Linked DNA regions of Diceros bicornis minor. The protein of the gene in region 2 interacts with the protein of the main gene of each other region in a biochemical or structural test. Links are inferred from orthologs where the notes say so. Each region holds a gene or a part of one and is shown on either strand. Other genes may lie near its edges. The genes, in order: NR0B2, EID1 and FBXO21.

Region 1 (7,273 bases), on a different chromosome or scaffold from region 2:
GGAAGTGAATGATTCCAAACTGCAGAAATTCCAATGACCTTGTCTGTTTCAATTTTGGAATGGGCAGCTTCATTTTCCTCGTTGGCTGTGACCTGACTCTCACTGAGGTGAGAGGGAGCCTGGGGCAGGAGCTGAGAGAGAGGTCCGTGGGGGATTTGGGGAGAGGGAGAGATACCCTCTCCCCCCAAAGATAAAGGCAAGGAGGTGAGGGGGTCCTGAACTGATACTATCCCCTGGATTCAGACCCATGCAAAATAAATCTCATCTCCAGAAATGAAATCGTCATTCCATCCTGAAAAATTAATATCCCAGTTCCCTGAGGCCTGGCTCCTGCACCCCTTATGGTTCCTTCCTCTTGGGCTCCCTCTGATAGGGGCAGGGTGGGTGCTGGCGATGAGATGGTTCCTTCCTCAGGGACAAACTACAGTGTCAGCTCCAAGTTTGTCACACCTTTTATTACAAAAACCAATAACTTAAGTCGTTTCTGTACAAAGTCAGTAGGACTCCTGGCCCAATGAGCAGACTAAGCTTTCATCCCCATCCCAGGAGGGGACAGGAGTTTTGGCCCAGAGGCTCTGGGACCACCAAGGGCCGGCCAGACAGCTGGAGCAGTGTCCAAACCAAGGAAGGCCAACATGGGGTGTGGCTGGGCCAGGGCCAGCTTGCTCTTCAGGAGCCAAGTGCTGTCTGTACAGGTTTGCATCCTCTGGGAGCACTGGGTCACCCCTGGGGACAGGCAGCCAGGCCAAATCAGTGCTGCCAGCCTCTGCACACCCTACACCTGATCTCTGCTTGGGCTGGAGCAGGTTGGCTCAGCAAAAGCATGTCCTCGAGGAGGCCAGCTATGTCAATGTCTCCAATGACAGGGCGAAAGAAGAGGTCCCCAAGCAGGCTGGGCGGAATGGACTTGAGGCTGGAGGCTGTGAGGAGGACACGGGCCAGGCGGCCTTGGCCTGCTGGGCACCTGGGCTCCAGGACCTCACACAACGCCTGATGAGCCTCCTGCTGCAGGTGCCCGACGTGGGAGGTGGCGTGGAGGCCTGGCACGTCTGCGGGCAGAGAAGGTGAAGAGGGCTGGTGAGCACCCCACTCCCAGACACCACAGGGCAAGGCTGGCCCAAGACCTGAGGCCACCAGCTCGGCCTTTGAGGCCCCATTACTACCTCATCCATTTATTTATTTATCATTTTATTCATCCATCCATTTATGGAGAGGCAGTATAGAGTAATGGTTAAGAGCCAGGCTGCCTGGGTTTGAATTCCATGCTGTGTAACCTTGGGCAAGTTACTTAATCTCTGTACCTCAGTTTCCTCATCTGTAAAATGGGGATAATAATAGTACCAATCTCCTAGGCTTGTTATGAGGTTTAAATGAGCTAGTATATGTAAAACCCTTAGAACTGGACCTAACATATGGTAAGTGTTATATGAGTATTAGCTGTTATATGAGTATAATTATTATAATTAATTACTTTAGTTTACACATTCTGTGAGGGCCCTTTGATGAAGAATTCTCGTCTAGAAGCTCTCCAGATTACAAAGAACACTACCTTTATCTGTTGACTCTTCCCTCTCCTCCCCACACCCCCTCGTCTTCATTCCTCTTCTCTACGTGGTCTTTCTGAAACTACAGAGTTTTACCTGTGACTGAGGCACAGCTGTGTCTGTCCACCCTCCCCTCCCCCACTCCCACCTTCCCTGAGGGTCAGGGCATGTTTCTTGGGCAGAGTGGCAAGAGCAAGTCTCTGGAATAGACCTGAGTTCCCATCCCTGCTCTGCCCCCACCTGGCTGTGTGACTTTTAGCAAGTCACTTAGCCTCTCTGAGCCTCTTTTGTGAGATAACTATTTGGTGATAATGAGGACTCAAAGAGATAACAGATGTCAAGCCCTTAGAAGTTGCCTTCCCTGGCTGGGCCCTGCTCCCTTCCAGCCTTAGCCCCCATCCAGGAGTGCCTAGGAGCTCACCAGGGTTGAAGAGGATGGTCCCTTTCAGGTAGGCATATTCCTTGGGGCCCAGCTCCAGGCTCCAGAAGGACTCCAGGCAATACTGAAGCCACTGCACTGCAGCCAGAGAGGGCTGGGGCCGATCAGGCGGCTGGGCACTGCCTGCACTCCTGTTGGGCTCCTCCAGCAGGATCTTCTTGAGTATACTGGGAACCGGGGCTTCAGCCACCTCGAAGGTCACAGTGTCTTGGGCCAACCCAAGCAGGAAGAGAGGGCCCCAGCAGCCCCGCAGCAGCCGCCGCTGATCCTGGGGGTGCAGCTGGCAGAAGGATGGCAGGTTCCTGAGGAAGACCACTGTCTTGGCCAGAACATCCAAGGCCTCCTGGCAGGTGCGATTGGGAGCACACAGCTGGACAGGCCGGTGCTGCCTGCACAGGCAGTGGCCACGGGCTGGGGCCACAGAGGGCCTGGCCCTGAGGCTGGGGCTCAGAAGTGCATATAGAATGGCTGGGCGGCCTGCAGCACCCTGGCATGGGCAGGTCCCTGGCTGGCTGGAGCTCATGGTTGAGGCTCTGCTCCTCCTTCCTCCCAGCTCTCCCGCCCTCTGCTCTGTGCTGTGGGTGCTATTTATATCTCCAATGGTGGGGAGGAGGGAACAGCCCAACAACCTTGACTCCAGAAGTCATGTTCATTGAAAAAAAAAGAAACACACACTGACCCTGGCAGGACTAGTGGGGAAGTGGCAGGGGACAGGGGGGGCCTTGGGAGCTCCACGTGGCCCTGATATTGCTTTAGTCAATGAAGTGGCCGGTGCAGGGCATGGGGCCACCTGCCCGTTGTCCTGGCTGCCCCTTATCGGATGACTCAAGCGGATAAACAGGGTCATTAACCCAGGCTGTACCAGGGCACCAAGGCCTCAGGTGCACGATCAGCAGGTGGCCATGGCAAGTGTCCCTATTGGTGCCTGTGAGACTCTCGCTAAACCGGGAAGCCAGCCCGAGCTGGACAAGCCTTGAACACAAGGCCCAACCTGGAAGTACCTTATCGCTGGCTTATTTGCCTAACCTTGGGGCCCTGCTGCTGTTGTTGGTAAGGAACAGGCTGCAGGGAAGGGAGCCAAGACCCCAGGAGGCTGAGAGGACTTTGCCTACTGTGCAGTCTAGGAGTGGACTGACTCCAGTTTGAGGGGCCCTGCAGAAATAAGGTCCTTAAGAACTCTCTCTCCAGTCTGGATTCCTAGAGCTCCTGCCATCCCAGAATGATAATACAATATGGCTGCTGTTTATTAAGCACCCACTATGTGCCAGGTATTTTTCCACTCTAATATTCAGAGCTTCCCTATGAGGCAGGAGTCTTACTTTTTGAGACTTAAAGAGGTGAAGTGACTTGCCCAAAGTCACGCCACTAAAAAGAGACAGAACCCAGATCTATCTGACTCCAAAGTCTTTGCTTGTTCCTCCGGATCCACTGGCCCAATTGTGTAGCCAGAGCTGTGTGGCCTGGGTTTCCCAGAGCTGGTGACTACCTGGGCCCCCACCTTGCTGCCGCCCACTTATAATCTGAGTAGAAACGTTGCTCTGCCGCCAGCCACATGACTCCTCTGTCCTGGGCATCTGTCTCAGACGGTGGGGCGTGGATTATGAAAGCGGGTGGGAAGGTCCTCGGCTGTGTCATATCTGTGGACCTTGGCAAGCCCAGCCTGGCAAGCCTTCTGCTACCACACCATTGGGCAGCCATCACCATCCCTGGCATCTGCTCCTGGCTCTATCACTTTCTAGTTGTGTGACCTTGGGCTGATCCCCAAATCTCTGTGGGCCTCAGGAGCTTCACCTGGAACAATAATGTCTGTCTGCCTGCAGGGCTGCTGTGAGGACAAAGTGAGGTCCTGGATGTCAAATTCCAAGCAGTTTCTGGTATACAGTAGGAGGGCTTTGCCCCCGCTTCCCTCTGCCTAAGGAAATAAGCCCCAGCAGACAAATGGGCATGCATCTTTCATTTGATTGTCAATAATCTTAATCCTTACATTTACAAAGTTCCTTTCACGTCCTTTTTTTTTTTTTTTTTTTTTTTTTTTTTTTGTGAGGAGAACCAGCCCTGAGCTAACATCCAATGCCAATCCTCCTCTTTTTTACTGAGGAAGACTGGCCCTGGGCTAACATCCATGCCCATCTTCCTCTACTTTATATGGGACGCTGCCACAGCATGGCTTAACAAGCGGTGCGTCGGTGCGCACCCGGGATCCGAACCGGCGAACCCCGGGCCGCCGCAGCGGAACGTGCGCACCCAACCACTTGCGCCACCGGGCCAGCCCCCCTTTCACGTCCTTTTATCTCACTGAATCCTCACAGTGTCCCCTCAAAGGAGACTCTGGAGTCAGACCGCCTGGGTCCAAATCCTGCTTCATCACTTAGATGAGAGACCTTGAGCAAGTCACTTTATATTTCGATGCCTCAGTTTCCTCACCTTTAATTTTTTTTTTAATTTTATTTATTTATTTTTTCCCCCAAAGCCCCAGTAGATAGTTGTACGTCATAGCTGCACATCCTTCTAGTTGCTGTATGTGGGACACGGCCTCAGCATGGCCGGAGAAGCGGTGCGTCCGTGCGCGCCCGGGATCCGAACCCGGGCCACCAGCAGTGGAGCACGTGCACTTAACCGCTAAGGCACGGGGCTGGCCCAGTTTCCTCATCTTTAAAAGGGTGGTAAGAAAGGCCAATAGTGGATATTGGTTTTATGGGGTATGAAGCTTATACAATCTGAAGGGCCTTCTTTAAGAATAGAAAATCAGGTATGAAAGTGAATATTTAAAATGAAAAAACATGGGCTGGCCCCGTGGCTTAGCGGTTAAGTGCGCGTGCTCCGCTGCTGGCGGCCGGGGTTCGGATCCCGGGCGCGCACTGACGCACCGCTTCTCCGGCCATGCTGAGGCCGCATCCCACATACAGCAACTAGAAGGATGTGCAACTATGACATACAACTATCTACTGGGGCTTTGGGGGGAAAAATAGATAAATAAAAAAAATTAAAATGAAAAAACAAATCTCTACAAATTACAAACTAAAATAAGCCAACAGAAAACACAAACATTGCAAACCCAGGAGAATACCAAGGTACTTTTACTGATCAATTGCCTGACAATATTTACCTACGTGTTTTAGCTGCACACTCTTTGTTCACCTCTTCTCATGTCAATGATATTTATTTTGAAACCATCACAAACAACGTTTGCAAGTACAGTACAGAGAACTTTTTTAACCTTGAACCATTTGCGAGTAAACTTCCAACCTGATGCTCCATAACCCCCAAATACTTTAGTGTGTAATTCCTACAAACAAGGACATTCTCCTATATAACCACAATATATAGTGCATAACCATCGACATCAGGAAATTAACATGGAAAAAAATCAGGAAATTAACATCTAATCTCAGACCCCATTTAAGTTTCACCAAATGCTCCAGTGAAATTGTGGTGGTGGAGGGGCTCAGCCCAGAATCTCACATTGCATTTCTTTATCATGTCTCTTTAGTCTTTATCAGTCAGGAAGTATCCTTGGTCTTTTCTTGCCTTTCACGACCTTGGCACTTCTGGAGAGTTGTTATTTTGTAGTATGGCTCTCAATTTGGGTTTGTCTGAGGCTTCCTTGTGATTGCTCAGGCTATGTATCTTTAGCAGGAATATCACAGAAGTGGTACTGTGTTCCTCTTGATACATCCTATCAGGGAGCGTACTTTTCCATTTGTCCCATTGATCACTTTGGTCACTTGATTAAGGTGATGGCTGCCAAGCTTCTCCACTATAGTTCATCTTTTCCTCTTTGTAATGAATCAGTATTTTATGAGGAGGTATTTTTATTTATTTATTTATTTATTTATTTATTTATTTATTTATTTATTTATTTATTGTGAGGAAGATCAGCCCTGAGCTAACATCCATGCTAATCCTCCTCTTTTTGCTGAGGAAGACCGGCCCAGAGCTAACATCTATTGCCAATCCTCCTCCTTTTTTTTTTTTTGCCCCCCAAAGCCCCAGTAGATAGTTGTATGTCATAGTTGCACATCCTTCTAGTTGCTGTATGTGGGACGCGGCCTCAGCATGGCCGGAGAAGCGGTGCGTCAGTGCGCACCCAGGATCCGGACCCGGGCCGCCAGTAGCAGAGCGCGCGCACTTAACTGCTAAGCCACAGGCCGGCCCTATGAGGATGTATTTTAAAACTATCTATATATTCCTCCTCATACATTGAATGTATGTATGTATGTATTTAGTTAGGAACGCAGGGTCTCCTATTTTATTCAGTGGCTTGCAATCTGTTACTATCATTATTTTGATGCTAAAATTGTCACAGATTTGGCCAATGGGAGCCCCTTCAAGCCGGAGTCTGTGTCTTTTTGACATGCCCCATCATTCTTTGAACATCCTTTGTCTTCTGGTATAAGAAGATACCACTTTTCAAGCCCCTGGAATCAACCAGTACTCCAAGAAGTTCTGATTCAATCTTCTAGTGGAGAAGAGTATTTAAAAACCATAATCTGGGGACTAGAATATTTAAAAACCAAGATCTGCTCATTGCTATTAGGGTGTCACTGCTCCTAGGCCGTCCCAGAGCTAAGGAATGTACAGACACACACACACACGCGCGCGCGCACACACACATTTATATTTATTTCTATATTTATTCATACATATACTAAAAAACATGAGTTCAGATCATTATCTGCAGTTCTAATCCACTAAAACAAGGTTCATTCTAGTTTTCGCTCTTTCTGTATTTACACCTCCCTTCTCCGACACTCAGAAATCTGGCTTCCATTATTCTTAATTTTTTTACTTATTGGATAAAGCCACCGTTTGTAACTAATCTTCCATCTCCACTGTCGCCCCCTCCCCTGTGAGATGTCTCCCTACCCCACTTGGGCTCTGATACCTGTGTCAGGTGCCCCCTCCCCCTCGGGGACGCCCTCTTCACGCAGCTGGGGATCTGTCACCCAACACCAGGTGGCTTCTCTGTGTGGACGCCCTCCGCACCCTGGTGGAGCTCTAACTTCTGCTCTGGGCTGCTGTGGCTCCCTCTCTCTTCTGGTGCATATTTGTACCTTGTTCTGCTAATAGTTTTAGGATTGAAATTTTCAGGAGGAGGAGGAAGTAGAGCTGTCAATGATTTTTAAAAATAAAATTCTAGGGCCAGCCCCGTGGCTTAGCGGTTAAGTGCTCGTGCACCGCTGCTGGCGACCCGGGTTCGGATCCTGGGTGTGCACTGACACACTGCTTCTCCGGCCATGCTAAGGCCGTGTCCCACATACAGCAAATATAAGGATGTGCAGCTATGACA
Region 2 (7,084 bases):
CTAATCTTTCCCCTATCTCTCTCTCCTTCTCCCCACCAAGCTAGTGTTTGATTATGATCATCCTTGTCATTTCTGTATTTTACAGAAAAGAAACTCTCTCCCTACAAGACAGGATGACCGTTAACATAAATAAGGCTGAGCTGTCTTGTTGTATTGGATGTGGCCTTTACTACCATAACGAAGCAGGCACATCTGATACCTTTTGATTAATCATGATAAGACCCACTGATATACTCAGTTTTATTGGGCACAGCCCTCTGACATGATTCCTCTTCTCACAGAACTTCAGCATCTTAAAAAAATAACTACGGCAACATGCTCATTGATAGGGCAGGCTTTCCCAGGTTGGTAAATTCTCTTACAGGAATTCATTAAGTTTAATTTCCACAAATTAATCTACAGTAGGTATTTGAAGCTCGAGCACTTTCCCTTATAAAGTGGTTAAATTTATATCATAAAGTGGTTGCAATACAATAAAATAGTATAATCCAATATAAAGCATTAGAGAAAGTATGTATGCAATGTTATTAGCCAAACAAAATACACAGAACAAGAAATTTTATTATCTTGAATGCTGGTGCATAACCAATAACAAGCTTATTTAGAGGAGGAGACAGAGGGAAACTTCAAATACTGAGGTGGATTTCCAGTCAGGTTTAAAACTTTTAAAGGTTGACAGCATAATTGTTCAGGTCTTTTTTAGATGTAGGGCTTTTCTTTTACTTGACAATTTTCACTTAACAGTTCTTAATTATGAAGTTCAACCCAAGTCTTTTGCCTGTACAGTTAAATGAAAAACAGAGAGCAAGTAAAACAGAAAATTTCTCTAGTATAGAAGGGTGTTAGAAATAGTTTGTTTTCTTTGTACTTGCACATACATTTTAAAGTCTAAATCTGAAACTTTATTAACATCTTAATTTTTGACTTTTAAAAATGGTTAAGACAATGAATTTTCTTGAATTATAGATCATAGTAGCTTTATAAATGATCGAGATATATGTACAAACAAAATTTCAGATGTTCTTGGAAACACATTTTAAGATATAGCACACGTGATACATATTTCTTTTTGGGATACTGAAGAATACTCAATTTATCTTCCACTAAAAATTTAGCCTTTGATAATTGTGGCTTGGACAGATCACAAAGTGGAATCTTCAAAGTTTTCTCAATAGGCTTTCAGTCCAAATAACTCAAACTCATCTTGTGTCCTACGTTGGATATATCAGTGGGCTCTTGTGCTGGCAGTTTGTCTTGGTCATGACTTATTCTTGCAAAACCATCCCTTACAGTGAAATATGAAAGATATTTTCCCCAATGCAAGGAAAATACTCTGGATCAGCAACAAAGTCAAAGCCATAGGTGTTTTTCAGGACATTCTTGAAAACAGGTTTTAACAGTCCTAAGATTCTTCAACAATTTTCTTCCTTTTTCGCAACTGTACAGTCACTGTCCTATTCTATTCTGCAAAACAAGACTTTTTTTGAAGATCAAGTTTTTCATTGGCATGGAACTATCTGGAATGAACCCAAGAGACAGTGGAATGTTGGGTCTCTCCTCAAGTAGCTTCCTCCTCTTTTAACAGCATTTAACTACTCTCTATCGATAATCTCATCACAGCCGAGTTCTTCGGTCAGACGATTGACAACCATAAGTGAAAAAAGCTCTTCGATAAAAGCCAACTGATCAAACGGGGTCTTCTCATAATGCATCTGAAACCCGCCATCCAGGGCTGCTTCTCTTGCTCTGGATGTTCTCAGAAACATCTTGTTGGCTTCTTCGAGGGCCGCAGATACTCTGTAACCTGCACCGCTCAGCTGCTCCTCTTCCGGATAGTCGTAGTCGTCCTCCCAGTCGTCAAATTCCTCGCCCTCGTCCTCGCTCTCGAAGTCGGGGCCCGCGACCTGGCCCGGCTGCTCCCCGGGGCTGGGCCGGTTAGCAAGGCCGCGCTCCCCCTCCGGCCCCGCCATTGGCTGGGCCGCCTCCTCCTCCATCGGGCCTTCCTCCTCGAGCTGCGGCGGGGCCCCGGGGCGGGCGGGGTTCGGGGACGGCTCCCGGCTCCCGCCGCCTACCTCCATCTGCGGAAGGTCACCCTCGCCAGGCATCACATCCATCTGCAGGTCATTGCTCTCTTCATACAGCTCGGACAGCTCGTTCATTTCCGACATCGTACCAGCAGCTCAACCTCTCGCACAGCGTTTTCAGCAAGATCGGAGCTACGCGGCCGCGCGGCTGTGCGCGTGCGCTAACGCCGTGCGCTTGCGTAACCTCGTGCGTCTGCGCGACCCCCGCTTGGGGGATCCCGCCTCCCGCTTGGCGCCCTGATCTGGCGGGAGCTGGTGGCTGCTCTGCAGGGGGCGTCAGCGTGGCTCGGTGGTCTGGGTATCCCTTGTGTCGAACGTCATGCCTAGAGACTGTAAATACTAGCCCGTTGCTTAGTCTCCGCCTCACTTAACCGTTCTGCTGATGCTGTAAACTTGAAGATACTCTACACAGCCTTTGTAACGACGCTTACCCAGCGTCTTCCTGCTCCTCCCCCCTTCCTCCCCCCGCCCTCCTCCTCTTCCCCCCGCTCCAGGCAATCGCATCTGCTCCAAGGTTTTCACTACCTGTTATCTATCTAGGAGCTAATGACTTACAAATCCACACCTCCAAATCACACAGTGTTCTCAACCACAGATCGACATGTTAAGAACTGATCCATTCACCTCTTCTATTTTCCTCATTAAAAAAAAGTTAAATTCACACATAAGCATATTATCCGTGTACGTTTTAAAGAAAATTATAGTGAAGAGATACGGGGTCCCATTTCTTTTTGCAGGAGGTAACTTTCTGCTGTTACCGATTTGGTGTGTATTCTTCAAATCCTGTTTCTTTGCATTTACATAGATTTTTATGAATTCGTGTAAAAAGCTTATTTTGTGTGTGTGTGTTTTTACGTCTCATAACTGTCTTCAAGTTACAAAACAAAAACCCCTCAGCAATATCTTGAAGATTTAGCTTTGTTGGTATACAAAGATATATATTTTTTCATAGCGTTCCATTTGTATAGCTGTGGCATAGTTGACCTAACTATGCACAAATAGTTTTCAATTTTTTGATACTATAAACTATAGGTAAATGAACATCCACCAATGTTTCTCTAGACTAAATACCCAAAAGTGGAAAGGTGGAATCGTAGGGTATGCATACTTTAGTTTTAATAAATACTGTCAAATTGCTCTCCAAAGTTGCTGTACAAATTTAAGCTCTAGTCAGCGGTGTCTGAGAAGATCCATACCCTTGCCACACATGCTTTTGTTGAACTTTAACAAATTTATCAACTTAATGGTATCTTGTTTTGTTTTCCATAGCCTCGATTTCTTGGAGATTGATTATCTTTCAATATGTTTATCAAACATTTGTATTACTTATTCTGAAAATTATTGGTCTTATTTGAGTTTCTTCTTATTGATTTGTAGGAATCCTCATAAACTCTTTATATGAATACTTTTTACATGTTGCAAATATATTCTGCCTGCCTGTTGTTTGTCCTGTTTCAAAGGGTCTTTTCTTATACAAAAGTTTTAAAATGAGTTTTGATGTAATAAAATTTAAGGTTTTTTTTTCTGTATGTCTTTTTCTTTCTGTTAAGATGGATTTTTCCTGCCTCAGAGATCACAAGCATAATCTTTTATTTTCTAATGTTTTTGTAGATCTTTGTTTCTGTCTTTGTAGATCTATATTCTATCTTTGTCTTCTAATATATTTTTAGATCTTTATGAATCAAACATTTATTTATATAAGTAGTATGAGGACAGAATTTGTTTGGCCAACCCGTGGCGTAGAAGTTAAATGCGTGTGCTCTGCTGGTTTCGGATTCCGGGCGCACACCCACAAACCCCTTGTCAGGCCATGCTGTGGCGGTGTCCCACATAAAGTGGAGGAAGATCGGGTGGGATGTTAGCTCAGGGCCAGTCTTCCTCAGCAAAATAAAAGAGGAGGATTGGCATGGATGTTAGCTCAGGGCTGATCTTCCTCACACACACACACACAAAAGACAGAATTTGTTTATATATTTTTTCCATATATATAGCTAATTCAGCCAACTCCACTAATTTAATCATTTGTCTTTTTGTCTGCTGTTTGGTGCCACACTTATCATAGACTAAAAGTCCATGAATATGTGAGTCTGTTTTTATTATTTATTTATTTTTTATAATTTTATTTATTTTTTTCCCCCAAAGCCCCAGTATATAGTTGTATGTCATAGCTACACATCCTTCTAGTTGCTGTATGTGGGACACGGCCTCAGCATGGGTGGAGAAGCGGTGCGTCGGTGCGCACCCGGGATCCAAACCCGGGTCGCCAGCAGCGGAGCGCATGCACTTAACCGCTAAGCCACGGGGCCAGCCCTGAGTCTGTTTTCAGACTTTGTATTCTAATGAATTTCTGTAGTTTTAGAATATGCTTGATGATAAGGAAAATCTCGTCTCTTTGTTCTTTAAAAAATTGTCTTAGCTCTTCTTAGACATTTATTTTTCCATGTGAATTTTATTTTATTTTTTAATTTTATTTATATATTTTTTCCCCCAAAGCCCCAGTAGATAGTTGTATGTCATAGTTGCACATCCTTCTAGTTGCTATATGTGGGACGCGGCCTCAGCATGGCCAGAGAAGCAGTGCATCTGCGCGCGCCTGGGATCCGAACCCCGGCTGCCAGCAGCGGAGCGCGCGCACTTAACCGCTAAGCCACGGGGCCGGCCCTCATATGAATTTTAGAAACAACTTGAATATGTCTTTATATGTCATGCTATCTGATAAGGAAAAATCTTGTCCCTTTTTTCTTTAAAAAATGGCTTTATCTCTTTTTGCACATTTATTCTCCCATGTGAATTTTAGAAGCAGCATGAAAAGTTCCCTGAGTGACATTGGTGGAATTTTTGTTGGAATTGCACAGAATTTATAGATTAACTTGGGGGAGAATTGACATCTTTACAATATTGTCTTCTCATCCATGAAGGTGATACATATCTTTTTACTTGTTCAAGTCTTAATTATATCCTTGAGTGAAGTTTTCCAAAAAGCCTTACACAATTTTTATTAGTTTTACATGTAGGTGCTCTTATAAAATGTATCTTCCCCACCCACCCCCTGAATACAGTCTCTGTTGGCTTTTGCTGATATGTGCAAATGACATTGATCTTTGTATATTGATTTTGCTTTTAGTAATTATTTTGAACTGAAATATGAATTTAGAAAACATAAATATAGAAAAGTGCACAAATCATAAGTGTACAGCTTGATTATCGCAAAATTAACGTATTTGTTTAACCACTACGCAGATCAAGAAACACCATTTGCAGGATCCCGGAAAACCACCTGTGGTCTCTTCCTTTGCCCCAGAAGTCACCACTATTCTGACTTCAAACAGAATAAAATAATTTAAACCATGCAGTATAATTCTTCGTGTCTGGCTTCTTTTGCCCAAGATATATGTTGTTGTGTGTGGTAGTCCATGAGTTGAATATCACAATGGTCATCATTGGGATTGTTTCCAGTTGGGGCTATTATGAACAAGGCAGCGATTATCTTTCTTTAGAATATCTTTTGGTGCACATATTTACAGGATTCTGTTGGACATACATCTAAGAGTAGAATTGCTTGGTCCTCTTATATAAGCAGCTGTAGTAGATTCTGAAGACAGGATTAGCTAATAGGTGCACAGTTGGGGTTTTAATGAAACTTCAAAACAGTATGACAAATACATCTCTGCAAACGGGCCGTTACACTGGGGCTTCCAAATAGAATCTCAGGTAAAAAAGACAATCTTCTTGGCTAGCTAATGCAGTTCTCTTGGATAGTCTTACTTCGTACTGAAAGTCTTACTGTTAGTGCCTTAGTCAGGATACTTTTTTTTTTTTAAACATTTTTTTTCTTTCTTTCTTTTTTTTTGTGAGGAAGATCAGCTCTGAGCTAATATCCATGCCAATCCTCCTCTTTTTGCTGAGGAAGACTGGCCCTGGGCTAACATCTGTGGCTATCTTCCTCCACTTTATAAGGGACTCAGCCACAGCATGACCTGACAAGTGGTGCATCGGTGCATGCCCGGGTTCTGAACCCAGGTCGCCAGCAGCGGAGCGCACGCACTTAACCGCTACGCCATGAGGCCAGCCCAGTCAGGAGACTTTTGGTGGTGAATCACTGAAACCCAATTCAAACTAACTTATATAAACATAAATAAAATTTAAAAATACATAAAAAGATAAAGGAAGGGGGTAAATGTATTGGTTGAAGTGATGAAACAAATGTTACCACTAGACTTTTTCCCGTTTTTAACTCTCAGTTCTGATTTTCTCCAGAGAGAAAACTTCCTTTTCCTGCAGGCTTTTCCCTCATGGCAGCACAAGATGGCTCCCAGAAGCTTTGGGTGTACACAGTCCTTAATGGCGGAGAGAGATGCATTCTCTCTTATTATCCACCTCAGTTCCAACCCAAAGACATTGATTGGCTTTGCTGTATCCAGAGGGATGGTGTTTTCTGATTGGCAAGGCCTGGATCGTGTATCCACCTGCAAGGAGAATGGCAGTGAAAGCGACATGTCAAACCCACCTGAACCTCCTGGTCTAAATGAGATTATTATAGAATGTGGTGGAGTGGCTTCCAAAGGGATGCTAAGCAGGCAAAACCAAAACAAACACATGTATGTCCATTACTGTTAGATTGTATATGACTAGGAGTAATTAATTTATAACATCATACATGTTTAATTTGTTTATGTTTTCCAGATTATTGCAAATCATCATATGCAGTCTATTTCATTTGCCTCTGGAGGGGATCCTGTAAGTATGGATTCATAAAGCTTCTTTTTATAAGAGTTAACTTCCATGTAAAGCATATTTGCCACTACATGTCTTTTTCAAATATCTTAGTACAATTTGTGAATAGCTACATGCAGCAGGTAATAAAAAATTTGGTTTTGAAAAAATATTTCCTGTCACTGATTTTAAAAATATTTGGATTAGTAGATGAGCTAATAATACTCCATTGTGTTATTAGCCATGGAGGTATCATCTGAGAAGCTTCTTGTAGATAACATCCAAGT
Region 3 (7,330 bases), on a different chromosome or scaffold from region 2:
ATAATGTCATTGCCACTCTCTTACACAAAACTGAGTTGCAAACAAAGATGCTTATTTTCATGGAATGAAATAAGTGCACTATCTTGCACCACCCAGGATGGTTAGAAAGTAACATGCAAAGTAACAATTTGTTCAGATCTTGCTAGTTGCAAATGAGTTATATTTTCATAGACTGGAATTTCTGAAACTGCTAACTCAAGAGTTCTAATGTGAAGAAAAATAGCTCTGAAAAAATAACTAGAAATACAAAATCTCCTAATTCACAATAACTATCTTGTGCAGTCTACACTGCACTCCACGAGGAGAGGAGGGCAGAGAGAGAAGTCTAGTGCTTTTGGCAATTCAACCCACTGGGCATGTTTTCTCCTCTGTAAATTGAGGTGGTGGTACCAATCGGCTTTTAGGTCCCCTTGGTTTAAAATTCTATTACTTCTCCCACTTTTCTTTTTGAAAGTAGCCAGGAAATTTCACATCAACCTATGTGCACGCAGAGAACACAGGAATACAAGGGTCCTGAGCCAAAGTAATCACCCGCCCACAGATCAATCTTAAGTATACTCTTGCTACATTCAAAGTCCTTGACATACTTCTAATTAGGCAGTGGTACAGGGAAAGAGGGAGCTAAGGAAAAAACACAACAATTCATCATTATTAGACAAAGGCACAGGCTGTTAAAAATGCACATAAAACCAGCTGGACTAGAAGTAGAGGCTGCAAACCAGTAGCCCATGACCAAGGGCATCAAACATATTTAGCACCCAAATATATGTGGGTACAAACACATTTAACCAGTATTTAAAATCTGTGATTATGAATGCTTTAGCCAGCTTATCCAAAGTTGAACGTAATTTTGTCCCTTCTAACATTAACAAACATTTATTTATAGAAATGAACCACTCTAGGAAATATCTAGTTTTATTCTCCATAGGGGAATAAGGTCAAATTTGTCCCAAGTTCAAATTTTCCCTTTCAAAACTTGAAAAGCCTGGAAAATACTTCAAATGTATGAATTCCGTTAAGTAATAGTAATTAAAATTAGAAAACAGAGATTTATCTTCAGTAAACCAGGATAGTAAAATACATCAGATTGGCTCTATTTCTAGATCCCTAATGTGAAACAAATTTAAAATATTTTTTCTATTTTCCAGAGTTACAAAAAGTTGAGAATCAGGATCGGATACAGAAACTGCTGTGAGAGACTCTGTGGAAGGAAAAAAACCAAAAAAAACCCCATGCATTTCAGCAATATTAAAAAAACAAACTTATCAGGATAATGAATGCAAAACATTTTAATTGAGGGAGTAATACTTCTGATTTACAGATAGCTTTTAATCCTGTTACCTTAACAAACAATGCAGTTTACTACTGGTTAAAACTTGCAAAGCCAGAGAGAAGAACCATATTAACTTTGTCAAACGTTCTGGGAAAACAACGGGGTGAAATTTGTAGTGTTCAATCACTGATGATCCCCCAAATCACGTGGAGATTGCAAAAAATACGTTTAACCCACTTGCAAAGAAATAACGCTGATCTGAATTCCCTTCACATTGTGTTGCAGGTCCCTGCCTCCCTTTCCACCCCCATTCTCTCTCTGGCTTTAGTAAACTCAAGCTGGCAGGGACAAATGGCTTCATGTTGTCGGAGAGGAGGAAAAGGACACAATGACTCTTGCAGCCGTCTAAGTGAGTAAGGGATTGTGAGAGCACTGAAAAGGGAGATATCAAAAAGCGCTGGATGAGCTAACGCTCCAGACCCAGACGCAGACACCACTACCAGGCAGAAGCGTAGAGCTACATCAACAGATCCTTACGTGCTCTGAAAAGAACCTCTTTGAGAAGGAGGCTACAATCTTCCGGGCTTCTAACCCAGCTTTTTGCCGAACTTTATACTCCTCCAACCAATTGACGTAGTCGGTGGGGCTGTAGTGTTTCATAAGGGAAGGCCACCTACAAGGAGAGAAACACCCCCTCAGCTTCAGAGAGACTCAAAGGCAGGCGGGCAGACAGACACGAATCAAAGGCAGCCTTGGAAAACAGGGAAAGCGGTACGGTTTAGTGGTCAGAGGGCCCCCGGCGGTGGACCTAGTTCAGCTCTCCATCCGGCACGCACGCACTCGCTCACGGTGTGACCTTGGCGTCGCAAAAGGAATGCTGCGTCTCCACTCCCCATCTATAAAATGGGGACAGTCGTAGCAACAGTAATAGCGATGACAATGACAGTTAACATTTATTGCGCGCCTCCCAAGAGCCGGGCCCTGTGCAAATGCTCCCTACACATCTTCTGGTTTAATAACCACAAAGGTGGGTCTCAGGATCACCGTTCCAAGTCGACGAACGAGGCTCAAAAAAGGGAAGCCGCTACCCACAAGGTCATACGGCGAGTGTGCCAGGGCCAGATTTTATGCCGGGTCCCCCACGGAAATCTGTGCTCTCGGCCAACAACCCGGGGATGCTGCGCCCGCTGCCTCCAGGGCTGAGGCTCAGCGCATCACCGGATCCATGTAAACATCCTAGCACAGAGTCGGGCACAAAAGAAGCGCGCGGGCTGGGTGAGCCGTGGCACTACCGTCGTCATCCCTCAGGGAGGGCCCGGCGGCTGGGCGCCCCCCGATGCGCAATTTGGGCACCGGAGGGTCCGCGCGGCGTGGACCCGAGGGGCCGGCGGCCTGGAGGCCTTTGTCTGTCGGTCCGCGGGAAGCGGTCCGGGGTGGGCGACGGGGGTGGGGTCCTCGCGCGGGGAGGGGCAGCGGCGCCGGCCGGCCGGGCCCGGGCCCGGGGGGCGCAGAGCGGGGGCTCGGGCAGCGGGGCGCTGGCTCACCTCACCCGGAACTGCTCCTTCCACACCTTCCCGCTACTCTGGCACAGCTCGCGCAGCCGCCGGCAGGTGCTGGAGACGCGGCCGATGTCGGCGGCCGTCAGCGAGCCGCTGCACAGGATGTACTCCAGCACCTCGCCCGGCAGGTTGACGAGGCAGCTGAGGCCCGCCGCCTCCGGCGCGGCCTCCTCCGCCAGCGCCGGCACCACGTCCATCGCGCTCTCGCCCGCTGCCGCCGCCATCTTGTCCGCGTACCTGGGCCGCCGCGCGCGCACGCACACGCCGGGGCGCCCCGCTTCGCCCCGCCCACCGGCCCGAGGGGCGGGCGCGACATCGCCCCGCCCACGTCCGTGGCCACGCCCCCTCCTCCCGGGTCGCGCTCCAGGACTGCGCCGCCGCCAAGGGAAGGAAATGCGTTTTGGAAAAGAACTGCGCTGTGGGCCGGGAGCCGGGGTAGCATCCATCTTTCTCGTGTGGGCTGAGCGCTTCCTGTGCATGAGCTCCTCGGACCTTCCCAAGAAGCCGGTGCACTGTTTCTCTCCCCAGGTTACAGATGGGGAAACTGAGGCTCAGGAAGATGAACAGACTTGCTCAGAGTCCCTTGTCTTAGATTCTAATCCAGATCCGCTTGACTTCTGCTTGACTGTAATAACAACACACAATATTCTTGAGTGGGTGCGGTGCGAAGCACTTTACATACGTTCTTCAGGGACTCCTCATTTGAGTCCTCTAGGATAGGTACCACAATTATACCATTCTACAGATAAGGAAAACAAGGCTCATAAAGGTGGAAGTCACTGGTTCAAAGTCACAGAGACAACAAGTGGTAGAGCCTGGATCTGAACCCTCAAAGCAGGAGTTACCACACAGGTGTGAGTGGGGCCTCTTCTATATATACATATTTAAGCCCAGTTCAGTGCCAAGCCCTGTGCTGTCTGCCCTGGGGGGACAGAGGTGAGTGAGATGGTGCCCTTGCCTCCCAGGAGCTCAAAGTCCAATTAGGGGGACACACAGGTATAGAACAATCTGTTGTCAGTACATGGAGGCGCAATAAAGTGTCCTCCCAACTTGGAAATCAGAATGCCCTGAAAGAGTTGAACAAGTAAAGTTATTGTCAATGGATGGTGTTAAGCCATCCATGGATCCCTATGGCCCTTAGAAATAAATCTGAAATCTCTAACATTGTTGCAAAGGGAAAGACTCCTGTCTGCCTCTCCTTGCCTCTTTGAGGCCATTTTCTCCCTCACTAGCCACGCCCCAGCCAGGCTGGTCTCTTTCCTGGTGCTTCTGTCCCTCACATGTATACTATTCCCACTGCCTGGAATGTGCTTTGTGCCAGCATGCCCTCCTTCCAGCTGCTCCTCCTCTTCCTCCAGGCCTTAGCTTAACCTCCCCAGATGCCCTCCCTTCCCTCACCCCAGCCCCCAGCACCAGATATGGCTCCTTCCCAACATTTTGCAATCTTGTAACTATTTGCTTAATTTATAACTATTTGTTCAACCTGTGTCTTTCCCACTAGATCAGAAGCAACTTCAGGATCAGGACTGTGTTTGATTCACCTCCAGAGGCCCAGTTACTTGGCCCAGGCCTGGCACGTAGCCGATTCTCAATGATTATCTGTTGATCGCAGGCCTTTCTGAGGTCCAGTTTCTCGTCAGTAAAATGGAGAAAATAATAATAATGCTGGGCTCCTGGGCTGTGTTAGAATTAGTACATTTGTGTAAAGTGTACAGAACTGTACCTGGCACAGAGAAAGTACTCAATAAAACAGTGTTATGGAGAAATGGGGAGAAACTGCTTAAAGGGAACAGGTTTTATTTTGGAGTGATAGAAATGTCTGGAACTAGATAGAGGTGGTGGTTGCACAACATTGTGAATGTACTAAATGCCTCTGAATCACTTTAAATGGTTTAATTTTATGTTATGTGAATTTCACCTCAATAGTTTTTTGTGTGTTACTGCATATGTTAGTTTGCGAGGGCTGCCATAACAAAATGGCACAGACTGTGTGGCTTAAACAACAGAAATTTATTTTTTCATAGTTCTGGAGGCTAGAAGTCAAGAGCAAGGTGTTGGCAGGGTTGGTCTTCTGCAGGCTCTCTCCTTGGCTTGTAGATGGCTTTCTTCTCCGTGTGTGTTCACATGGTCTTCCTTCTGTGTGTGTGTCTGTGACCTAATCTCCTATTCTTATAAGGACACCAGTCATATTGCATTGGGGCTCACTCTAATGACCTCATTTTACTTTAATGGCCTCTTTAAAGACCCTGTCTCCAAATCTGGTCACATTCTGAGGTCCTGGGGGATAGGGTTTCAACATATGAATGGGGGGGCGGGGACAGAGGTACTGCTGCTGCTGCTCCTAGTCATTAAAACAGAGAGGTTTAGAGCAGCCGCTGGAGTCTGGTAGATCTAGGAGAGAGTCTGCACCGCCACGCTTCTCAATTCAGTGGAAGTTTCCTGGCCTTGTTCTTGTCTTCCCCCTGCAGACACTATTTACCACTTGCTTCTCCTCGAAATGCTGGTTCCCCTTGGCCTCTGTGGCCCCAGCCTCTCCTGGTTCTCCTCCTACCCCTAGGGCAGGTCCTTCTCAGTCTCCTTTGCCATCTCCCCCAGATGGTACATGTTGGGGTATCTTGGGGCTCAGCCACAGGCCCCGTTCTTTCACTTTCTCACCCCTGTCTACAGCTGGAATGATGATCCAAACCCAGTTTAAATGTCCACATTTCCCTCTCTGGCCCAGCCTGTTCCTCTGAGATCTAGGCTTACTCAGCCAGCTGCTCCCCTGACATTCCCTTTGGGGCCCTGAAACTCAACTTATCCAAGAGTGAACTCACACCCCCACCCCCACTTATCCTGTCCTCTCTTGATGGTTCCTGCCTTGGGAAAGGCTGCCCATCCATCCATTCCTGCAAAACTGGACCTTGTTGCCATCCTTGGCACCTCTCTCCCTCACCATCCATATCCAAATACCCAATAGATCTTGACTTCTCTGTGCCTCGGTTTCCTCATCTATAAAATGGGGATAATGATAGATCTTCCTATTAAATGAAACAATGCATATATATCAGTTACTCTTGCGGCATAACAAATAAACCCAAAACTTAGTGGCTTAAAACAACCTCGTTTTTGTGCTCTTGGTTTTGTGGGCCAGGAAATGGAGAAGGGCTCAGCTGGGCAGCTCCGAACTGGAATCAGGTGGCGTCTCCAGATTCCGTGCTTTCAAACACTGCATGTCCTCACTGTTGTCAGACCCCACAGGATCTGAGAGAAAGGGCTGAGATTTTTGTCTTAAGTGCGCTTGGAAGCAGTCTCCATATTCAAATGCCCAACAGAGGTTAAGTTCTCTGTGTCTCAGTTTCTTCAGGGAAACTTTTTTTTTTTTTTTGGAACGGGGATGCCATTTTCTTTTCCAAAATATCATTCCTAATTTTTCTCAAATCTGTGTCTTTCTCTCAGTCTCCTCAGCCACTGCCCTAGTCCATGCCCCCTCTGTGGCTCCTAACTGTTCCCCTGGCTTCCACCCTGGCCCTAAGAATGTGAAAATCAGCCCTGATGATGCTCAGACCTTGATAAACCAAGTTTCCACCCAGTCGGGCAGAAGGTAGACCCCCCCAACTGCACAGACGATTGGTAAGTCATTCTTGTGAACAACTCTTGCTTTCTTATCAGTGACATCCTGGCCCTCCTTCTTGCTTCCTGTCTTCTGATCAAAGATGACTAAGATACTAAAATCGCTTGCCAATCCAGAAAATCCTCTCTGTGACTCTAGAAAAGATGGAGAACAGTTTTATTATTGAATAAGCGTTAAACCAGACTGTGATGCACATCACAGGTAATCCGCTGATGAGATTACAAAGACAGAGAGAAATCCCACCCTTTTTATATACACCAGTCACTGCCTCACGTACGTGCTCTCGAGATTAGTGGTAACTTGTCCTCAGGTAAGAGGACCTGACCACACCTGTCCTAGTTCATGCATTCTTTCCTAGTTCATCCTAAGCTCACCCGGTAATTGGGGTACCTATTGTGCTAGCTAACTGCCCTCATCTCAAAGAATAATACAACTTCTCATCTTTACGACAAGCAGGTGCTTACAGCTGGGAACAAGGTGCTCATGTTAAACTCCCATGGTCACAGGGAGATAGGGACATTATCTTCCCTGATATTTACATTTCAAAGAGATAGTTCCCAGGTCCCTAAGAAAAACATTCCTGGGTTGTAATAGTGGCAAGAGGCGTACTTAGCCTTTAAAAAGATTTGTAAAATGTAGTATGCGCGCACAACGGAATGTTCTTCAGCCATAAAAAAAAAATGGAGCACTGATACACGCTGCAACATGGACAAACCTTGGGAACATTACACTAAGTGAAAGAAACCAGACACGAAAGGATGAATATTGTATGATCCCACTTACGTGAAACATCTAGAATAGGCAAATTCATAGAGACAGAATGGAGATGAGAGGTTACCAGGGGCTGGGAGGGAGGAGGGAGTGGGGAGTTATTGCCTAATGGGT

What was found.
Region 1: the proteins of EID1 (region 2) and NR0B2 form a complex in vitro, tested with the Homo sapiens proteins (3 studies listed by BioGRID). The link is inferred for Diceros bicornis minor from reciprocal best matches to the Homo sapiens genes EID1 and NR0B2.
Region 3: of the proteins of EID1 (region 2) and FBXO21, one has a biochemical effect on the other in vitro, tested with the Homo sapiens proteins (2 studies listed by BioGRID, with this or other methods). The link is inferred for Diceros bicornis minor from reciprocal best matches to the Homo sapiens genes EID1 and FBXO21.

What each region holds. Positions count from the first base shown.
Region 1 is NC_080752.1:42,664,996-42,672,268, forward strand, and holds NR0B2 (nuclear receptor subfamily 0 group B member 2), read right to left. Parts: upstream 2,507-7,273; coding exon 1,966-2,506; intron 1,050-1,965; coding exon 751-1,049; 3' UTR 513-750; downstream 1-512. UniProt on the Homo sapiens protein: Transcriptional regulator that acts as a negative regulator of receptor-dependent signaling pathways. Specifically inhibits transactivation of the nuclear receptor with which it interacts.
Region 2 is NC_080744.1:45,426,188-45,433,271, reverse strand, and holds EID1 (EP300-interacting inhibitor of differentiation 1), read right to left. Parts: upstream 2,410-7,084; 5' UTR 2,169-2,409; coding exon 1,593-2,168; 3' UTR 542-1,592; downstream 1-541. Other genes in the region: SHC4 (SHC-transforming protein 4), read left to right, coding at 6,768-6,821. UniProt on the Homo sapiens protein: Interacts with RB1 and EP300 and acts as a repressor of MYOD1 transactivation. Inhibits EP300 and CBP histone acetyltransferase activity.
Region 3 is NC_080774.1:14,386,476-14,393,805, forward strand, and holds the start of FBXO21 (F-box only protein 21), read right to left. Parts: upstream 3,057-7,330; coding exon 2,818-3,056; intron 1,947-2,817; coding exon 1,811-1,946; intron 1-1,810. UniProt on the Homo sapiens protein: Substrate-recognition component of the SCF (SKP1-CUL1-F-box protein)-type E3 ubiquitin ligase complex.